Saccharomyces cerevisiae S288C: one gene and its partners. The protein of the gene in region 1 binds, or shares a complex with, the protein of each later gene. Each region holds a gene or a part of one and is shown on either strand. Other genes may lie near its edges.

What was found. Proteins that work in one complex are often made in the same cells at the same time.
Region 2: MRPL24 (region 1) and MRPL22 share a complex: the UniProt entries of both Saccharomyces cerevisiae proteins name them as parts of the mitochondrial large ribosomal subunit.
Region 3: MRPL24 (region 1) and MRPL25 share a complex: the UniProt entries of both Saccharomyces cerevisiae proteins name them as parts of the mitochondrial large ribosomal subunit.

The regions. Positions count from the first base shown.
Region 1 is NC_001145.3:648,336-651,391, forward strand, and holds MRPL24 (mitochondrial 54S ribosomal protein bL28m MRPL24), read left to right. Parts: upstream 1-1,700; coding exon 1,701-2,477; downstream 2,478-3,056. Other genes in the region: GYL1 (Gyl1p), read left to right, coding at 1-945; 60S ribosomal protein eL36 RPL36A, read left to right, coding at 2,810-2,825. UniProt on the Saccharomyces cerevisiae protein: Component of the mitochondrial ribosome (mitoribosome), a dedicated translation machinery responsible for the synthesis of mitochondrial genome-encoded proteins, including at least some of the essential transmembrane subunits of the mitochondrial respiratory chain.
Region 2 is NC_001146.8:303,110-306,404, forward strand, and holds MRPL22 (mitochondrial 54S ribosomal protein uL22m MRPL22), read right to left. Parts: upstream 1,507-3,295; coding exon 577-1,506; downstream 1-576. Other genes in the region: 40S ribosomal protein uS3 RPS3, read left to right, coding at 1-293; TDA7 (Tda7p), read right to left, coding at 1,961-3,295. UniProt on the Saccharomyces cerevisiae protein: Component of the mitochondrial ribosome (mitoribosome), a dedicated translation machinery responsible for the synthesis of mitochondrial genome-encoded proteins, including at least some of the essential transmembrane subunits of the mitochondrial respiratory chain.
Region 3 is NC_001139.9:636,528-639,260, forward strand, and holds MRPL25 (mitochondrial 54S ribosomal protein mL59 MRPL25), read right to left. Parts: upstream 1,051-2,733; coding exon 577-1,050; downstream 1-576. Other genes in the region: U4/U6-U5 snRNP complex subunit PRP38, read right to left, coding at 1-348; PEX8 (Pex8p), read right to left, coding at 1,217-2,733. UniProt on the Saccharomyces cerevisiae protein: Component of the mitochondrial ribosome (mitoribosome), a dedicated translation machinery responsible for the synthesis of mitochondrial genome-encoded proteins, including at least some of the essential transmembrane subunits of the mitochondrial respiratory chain.

The sequences.
Region 1 (3,056 bases):
CTCTTGTTCTTACCAAGTGCTTCTGAGATCGATATTCTTTGCTATAAATTTGATAGACTTGTAGAAGAATTTTATCCTGAAATTCACAACCACATGGTTGAAAAAGGCGTCCGTTCTTCCATGTTTTTGCCCGGTTTCTTCACGACACTGTTTCAAAAGAAACTTCCCACTGAAATTCAACCACGTATCGGTGATATGGTATTTTTAGAAGGTATTGACTCTATTATGAGAATTTTAGCCACACTTTTATCTAATTCCCGAGACCATCTGTTAAAAATGGGTTTTGATGATATGCTGGAGCTATTGAAATCAGGTCTGTTAGATGCTTATATTAAGCAGAATGATGGTACACGCGGTGACACTCTTCTCTCAAATGAATGTATGGATAAATTACTACAAGACTCTATGATGAAAGTAGCAATAACCCCAAAGACTATGAAGAAATATTCTTCTGAATATGAGGAAATTCACAGATTGGACAATGAAAAAGAAGTGCAATATAAGTCTATCACGGAAAAAAATTTACATTTACAAAAGCATGTTCGTAAATTAGAAAACGACTACACATCTTTAAATAGAGAGCATGTGACAATTGCGAACGAGTTAGTGAAAAATCGGCTTAATATCGAGTCTGTATTAAATGAAAATAATGGTTACAAACTTCAAATTTTAGATTTGAAGAAAAAGTTGGATTCAGAAAAAAAGAAGCAAGTTTTAGGTGTATATGTGCCCAATGATTTAAAGAAAGATTTGGAAGAGACAATGAAAAAGAATACCCAAGTAATGGACGAAAATTTGAAATTGCAGGATAGGATTTCAGAACTAGAAAGGCTTATTGAAGAAATAAAAACTGCAAACAAAAATGGTACGTTATTCGAATATTCTAATTCTAAAAATAATCCTTTGGGAGCCGGCTGGTCAGGATTTAAAAAGGTTTTTAAATAGTTAAACTGTGTATATCAGCTACTGCTCCCCTTGAATGATACATGACTAAATATAATGATAAATTTATTTCTTGATTTTTGATTATTTCATATTTTGTTGACATTTGAGAGCTTCAATTGTATAAAGTTGCAAGATAATATATGAGGTTAGGGAAGCCGGATAAAGAAAATAGAGTACTTTAAAACTGTTCATGGACTAAGAATTCAGTGACGATGAAGTAGTAAAGGAGAGTGTTTAGGATATAAATAAGACCGAGAAATTGTTAGTAAGCATTACTTCTAGCAGAAATAATGAACCACAATCGTGACAATATATACTCGAGTTAGCAGTTAACAGTAACCCTTTCCATACCATTCTAAACTTTGCAACAGTAAATATCTTGGCGTTTAACGTTTTATTTTATTCTACGTTTCTCAAATATCGGCTGTACTCATGTGGCACATCATGAAAAGAGCCTTCATATCAAGAATTCAAGAATTTTAATTACATCGTGACAACGGTTTCCTAAACTTTTAGTAAAAACAATTAAATGTGCAATTTTGTTGATTATACTGTGGACAAATTGAGCTTAGTACGTTTCCTTCTTCTCTTTCTGCAATTATATTTAATTAAATAATCTCGTATTCTCGCATCCGGGCACGCTTTGTGAAATTCATTTGAGAAACCAAAAACAGCTGATCAGCTAGAGCTATTAGAAGTTAGTGCCCAGGGGTATAGAAAAATCAGTTTAAGGAAGAAAAAGCTCACAGAAGAATATGCAAAAAATTTTCAGACCATTCCAATTAACGAGAGGCTTTACCTCTTCCGTAAAAAACTTCAGGCAATGGAGACTGATTGAAACAAGGAAGATTGCCAAACAACCGAACTACCAAGTTGGTGATGCTAAACCTTTACATATGCCAAAAGAAAGAAAGAAATTTCCAGATTACAAGTATGGGGAATCTAATATCTTCAAACAGAGTAACAAAGGTCTATATGGTGGATCTTTCGTTCAGTTTGGTAACAATATTTCTGAAAGTAAAGCCAAAACGAGGAAGAAGTGGTTGCCAAATGTTGTCAAAAAAGGTCTCTGGAGTGAGACTCTGAACAGAAAAATCAGTATCAAAATGACCGCTAAAGTTTTAAAAACAATCAGTAAAGAAGGAGGGATTGACAACTATTTAACAAAGGAAAAATCTGCAAGAATAAAAGAATTAGGGCCGACCGGATGGAAGCTTCGTTATAGGGTTTTAAAAAGAAAAGATGAAATAGAGAATCCCCCACATAAGGATGCACCTATCATAGAAATGGCTGGTGGTAAAAAGGCCAAAATTTACTATGATGAAATAGTAAACGGCTCACCAAGAAAAATATCAGTTGGAAGAAGAAGATTGATGTCATTTTTATATCCTTTAGAGAAATTGGAATATAGGTCAGTAGGGAAGGACCTGAACTACAAAAAATTTGTCGAGTTATTTGCCGACGTTCCAGTCAAGGATATCCTAGCTAGATTAGAGGATCATAAATTCGACTTATCCACCATCACCGTATAAAAGGAAGAAATAAAGAAGATAATTGCCATTCCGAAAATATCGTTGGTTTTCCCCTGTATATAAAAAAGCATATCTGTTTGTACATATGTAGGTATGCACACATTCTGAACATTATTGATGCGTATATGCTTGCTACATTAATTGGCAATTCATTTTTTAGACTGTTTTACACCCGTACATTTCACAGTTTTTTTTTGAAGTTAAATTCCAACTGAATGGAAGCCTCCGCTCCTATGAAATTTATTTGAAATCAGAGATTTCAGGATGTTGAACAGTATAGTACTGATTTACAAGTATCAAAGAAACAAGAAAGACAGCAAACACAATAAGAAATGACCGTTAAGACAGGTATGTGAGACATAAACAAGGAACTGAACGGGTTATGACGATTTTCGAACTTATAAAGGGGTTTACCCCAAATACGAGAAGAACATGAGTGCATTGAAAACTTAAAAGGAAACAAAAACAAGAATATTATATAATTTTGAGTGATTAATGACCAATGGAAATAGCCAGAGGAAAAATACCATTTAATATGCATACACAGGCTTATCTCTTCACTCCTATCTAAAAAACTAT
Region 2 (3,295 bases), on another chromosome or scaffold:
CTGCCAGAGCTAAGGCTATGAAATTTGCTGACGGTTTCTTGATTCACTCTGGTCAACCAGTCAACGACTTCATTGACACTGCTACTAGACACGTCTTGATGAGACAAGGTGTTTTGGGTATCAAGGTTAAGATTATGAGAGACCCAGCTAAGAGCAGAACTGGTCCAAAGGCTTTGCCAGATGCTGTCACCATCATTGAACCAAAAGAAGAAGAACCAATTCTTGCTCCATCTGTCAAGGACTACAGACCAGCTGAAGAAACTGAAGCTCAAGCTGAACCAGTTGAAGCTTAGATTTAATTATTAAATACATAAATAAACTATAAGTACAATAATTTCTTCTATTCTAGTGCACTTAATTGTTGCGGTTTCTTGCATATTGCCGTGTTTAGTCAGGAGGGTGCACGTTGAAGCAGTGCGTTGAAACTAGTTGTTATTTACAGAATCACAATATTATATAATCAAAAGAAAAGTTTTGTACAACACAACTGTGAATATAGGTTAAGAAGTGAGTAGCAGTTCATCTTTCTCAGCTTACAGGACGATTTCTCGGATATGAATGAGTTCGCTATCGTTTTCACCACTTGTATACGCCGCCTGTAACACCCCTAATGGGCTTATCTCCCAACTGTACCCATGGCGCTCTTTTTTGCTCTTTTAAATGTGCTTCATAAGCAAGTCTTCGTTTCGTAACACTCTTTGTTCTCAGAATACATCTGACATGTATGTAAGGATGACTTATGATTCCGATTCTTGTCCTTGCCTTGAATTCAACACGTTTTCTCCAAAACCCGTCACTCCCTGTCCAAATCTGAGAGATATATAAGTCCTCTGGTTTCAAACCTAATTTTTGGCCATCTTTTACACCTTTTTGAAGTAGTTCTGCTACTTCGCGAGCAATTTTCTTATTAGAAAAGTGACACTGAGATATAGCTTTCATAACGTCGAGGCCTCCCAATAACCTCAACAAAAGTGTAGCCTTTTTCATCGACGATTTAATTCTATATGACTGAGCATATACGGAAGGTTCTAGTACTTCAATTTCTCTTTTTGTTAACTTTAGCTTGTAACGTTCGCTAGAATTTGGTAACTTTACAATAGTATCTTTCTTGTAAAACCCACCATTAATTTTACAATTAGCTTCATATATTTCCCTTTTCAAAGGAGATAATAAGCTCTGTGATGCTAATTGTTCCGGTTGCTGCAACGATATGATATGTTGCTGTAGTAGTTTATCGTTTTCTATGGTTATTGAATCCCTATTAACTTCAGGAGCCTCTCCAGAAGAATCAGAAGCAATCGCTAACCTATTAGAGAAGCTGCCTGCATCTTCATCCCCCCTGTTTTTTCCTTCCTTTGGTTTATTTTCTGTAATGCTTCCGAATAGTGATCCTCCTGAATTATTAAGACTTATTGGCGTTACATGAATCCAACGTCTACTTACAGAAGAAAGTAGAGCCCTAGAAATGACACCGACCTGAGATATTCTTGCCGTGTGGAAGTTCATTTTCTTTAATAAAAAAGATAGGGTGAGGTGAGGTTCTCTGACTTGCTATGCGGCTCCTAATGGCGTATGTTAAAATGCCTTCCAGATTGGATAGTTGACTTTTATTCAAAATCCCGAGTACAGTGAAGGCTTAGTTACCCCGCCCACAGAAGATTAATAGAATATCATGAGTACTGTTCAAGCAGCAAGCAGGAGAAAAGACTGAAAGAGTTTCGTATAATTTAGTATTTATTTATTTAGGAGAACTAAAATATTTTCTTTATACACAAAGAACAAAGTTTTCTTTTTTTTTCATTGCAGAATGGTATCATTGTTTTTTATGCCTTTTAAAAGGCCTTGTCGTTCTTCACTATTGGCAATAAAGATGTTTTTATGATTTTTAATAGTAGTGTTATTCAGCAAGAGCTGATTTTGCTTAATTAGTAAACATCATACTAATAGACTGAAGTCATCGTCATATAATTTCCCTCAAGAACCCTTGTGAATTGTTCTGAACTGTATTTCTCTCATCATGAGAGATGTCATTATCTAAACCACGTCCGAGTCGTATCGAATTTGAAGATAAAGTAGAAAAGCCACCTTGAGTAGATGAACCCAATGACGAATATGTAAATGAAGAGCCATAGGAAAATCTGTTTTCCTGGTCCATGAAATTACTCCGCATATTTTGAAAGGAGCCATTCATTGCGGTAACATTCCTTGGTGGTGGCACTGGAGGAGGATTTCCTCTTGCCTTAAAATTGAATTCGTTGCTGAACGGATTATTAGCAGAAGCAGTCTCGGTGTTTCGTTGCTGTGATCCCGAGTCTTGAGCTTGAAGTGACGCCTCTTTTGCTTGGGCAGTTGTTGGGAATCCCGTTCTGCGCCCAATCTCGTGACAGAAGGAATCGTTTTCCTTGAAATGCCTCTTTGCCTTCCTTTTTCTAACCAGCATGAACCAAACTACTAGTACACATATAAGAATACCACCGACGCTTCCTACCACACTTCCAACAATGGTACCAGTATTTGTCTTTGAAGTGCCTTGGTTTTTGTTATTATCCAAACTGCCATCAAGCCAGTGCTGATAGAAAGACATGTCAGCTGTGATCGTCGAAGATGGAGCGGAAAATGAGGTTACCTCACTTTTTGCAACTGCTATGGTCGTAGGTAATCCCGTCACGAACGTTGTAGAGGAGTCAGTAATATCATATGTTTGGGTATAGAAATAATAAATAGTTTTTGAATCTTCGGAGCTTGAAATGGCTACCGTATTGAAGACCTGACTGGATGTTGGTATGGGAGACGTAGAAATCGTACTAGTGCTGGGTGTTTGAGTGGTGGGTGGTATACTGCTGCTAGTAGTAGATTGTAAGGACTGAAAAGTATACGTGCTTGAGTAAGCACTTGTTGTATCATCTGATGATGATGATGATGAAGGACGGTTTGAAGGTACTTTACTGCTGGATGAGCTAACAGAACTTGACGTTGGCACGGAAATCGTGCTTATGGAAACTGTCGAAGATGAAGCTGATGGACTGAGTTTCGATGATTTGCTTATGGTTGAAAAATCGTTCGTCGATGAAAGCGATGAACTGTAAAACGATGTGGAAGTATTCCGACTGGAACTTGGGAATGTGGTATCTTTATTTGATATCGTAGAAGGAGAAGAAATTGTTGAGAACCAACTAGAAGAGAGTTCTGAAGTGGTACTAATTTGAAATGAAGTTGCAGATATGGAAGACAAGTATGTGTAACTAGGGGATATTACGGTGGGTGTTGATGGTGAGAAAATAGAAGATCTGCTGTC
Region 3 (2,733 bases), on another chromosome or scaffold:
CGAGTCAAAACCGTTCTCATTTTTTACATTCAATAAGAAGTTCAACTGCTGGAAATTCGGTCTGATTTCGATTAACTTCATTAAGATGCATTTAAACTCAATGCCACCGAGAACCATCATGTGTAAATGACCATTTTGACCTTTTATGGTACCAAATGCGCCAATCATAACTTTCAAAAGCTCTACCATTGTATTGCCTCTCAAAGATTCGTTGCTTAGATTTACTTTATAGTACATTGAATTATGAATTTTATCTCTTGTCAACCGAGGAATAACAAGTGACACTGACTGGTTATTCAGTTGTTTTGGAGAGATGTTAGACTCCACTTGAAATTCATTGACAGCCATTGTAGTCCTTGTTCTTTACCCACGTTTTGTTTTTGTTCTTGCGTTTTTACTGCCACTGAAAATATAGCGTTGTAATGGCTTTAGATTTTACTTTTTTTTATCATAATTCTTGTTCAGAACGTTCGTTATTGATATCACAAAATTATTTACATGATTAGACATTAAAAACATAAAACAGTACACATAGGGTTTACTATTCTAAACTATAGTTATCTTCTCTCTTATTCTTCAGAACCAGCCTATACTTTGGTTTTTTTTCATTTTTTCTACTCTCTTGGCATACTTCGAACCCTTCTTGGAAGCAATCAACTCATCTACCTTCTTTAAAGCTTCTTCACGTTTTTTTAGCTTTTCGTTTAATTTCAATTCATGCTTATGACCCTTGGGCAAGAGAACACCTTTCATGAGGGTCTTTTTATTGTATTTCTCCTCGAAGAAAAGTTTCTTAGTGTTTTCGATCGGTGGTAAAAACTCTTCTACTCCATAACGCAGTGCCAACTTATATACGTCACTCATTCTTCTAAGTGAATATTTCGGATCATGAAATCGTTGTGTGACCGGATGTTTATTTGGCAGGAAAGGATTGGCATTAATGGCTTTAGTAGATGTAGACACTGGAGAATACTTGATTGAAGGGGGGTATCTTTGGAAAAAGGACTTCAATTTCAAAGGCAAACTATCAAAATACTGTTTGTATGACATGGAGTTTAGTTTAATGCACTAGTTGGTTTTCCTATTCTGTATAAATGGTTCACTTTATTTCGTATTTCACTTGCTCTTCCACTTTCACTTGTATCCCAGTCATTTTTTTTTTTTGTTTGAGAAAAAAGGAATATAAAAAGGCGCTACTATAAAGTACTTAATGATACTATAATTTAGAAGATTGACTTGATAAGACCGTTGTGTACCACCAGTCGATGGCTAGGGAGGATTCTAGACTCGAAACCATTTCCCACAATTGTTGAAGTAGCTTTTTGTTATGTGTATTGATTAGCTGGAGACAGATGTTCAACCAGCCGATCAAATGATGAGGATTGTTGATAAAGGCTATTTGTACAATCAGACATTCAATCAATACATTCTTCTTTTCTGGGTTTTTTACATTAACAATTCTGATATACGTCTCGTGCAAAGAGTCCCTAAGCAAATGCTTGTTATAATTATGTAGTGAGGGAAGTTGTGTGGATAGATGGCCGAATATAAGTAAAATTTGATTTGCGGACAATTTACCTGCAATAAATTGGTCCATCGACATCTTTAAATAGACGAGTATGCGGGATACTTGCCATTGTGCAACCTGTGAGGAATAAGAGGAGTCTATAGACAGTACAGTGATTGTCAATGTGTGTATAGATTCTTTGATTTCAATATCCAAGGTATTGCCCGTCTTCCCGCTAAAAAATACATCGAAATGCAGTAAAGGTTCGATAAACTCAGTAATAAACGGCAAACGAATGCGACACCCATAGTAATTAGTAATTTTGTTTAGAAAATTGATGTAAAACACTAATTTATTTGGATCTTGTTTGGTGTTGTTTCTTTTCATTAGTTCCAAAACTGTAGTGATTTTAGACAAGTCATCCATGACAATGAAATACGTTACTAAATTATCGTAAACATAATCGTAACTGGGAAAACCGACTGTCCCGATTTTTTGAGTCAATACGTGGACGTGGAAAAGGCTTAAACAGATCATAGAATAAAAAGTGTCTTTATGGTTAGGCAGTATTGTCATATTCATGGCGGATAATTCTTTTAACGCGAGGATTATCAGGATAAATACATTTTGGAACTTGAAATCTAGTTGTTGTTCTTTCAACGAAGCCACAGTATCGGACAAGTATCGACATATCCTTTCTAGTTTGCGTACTGAATTTACCAAAGTTGCCTCATTTGACCTCGTGATTGAACTGGTCAAGCAACTGGCCAAATGATTCAAGTTGGTTGATAAGACTGAATCAGTCGAAAAAATTTCCATCGGCTGCACAATGCCGTGTACATACTCTTCCAAAAGGTCCAATAGTTTCTCTGTGACCAAATTCCATGATACGTCAACTCCATGCAAAAGGGCGCTTCGGTTTGACTGATTAAAAAGTAAAGCTAATGCTATCAGAAGGCAATGCTGAATCGATAAATTAGCCCTGACAATGGCAGTATTCCATAGCTGCGCCCATATTGGTGAAAACAGTTGTAATTTCCAGTTTCTGTAATAAAGCGCAGTTTTGTTGCTGGATTCATCAATAAAATAGGCGTTGTTCAATTGTTTGAAGCTCGGGTATGTGACTAGTACACCATCCAAAACCATCAACTGTGAAAGGTTCCACGTGGCTCGGTGAGATTCGAAAACAGCATTCCAAACCAAGTAAAACTTCGAAATTGGGAGCG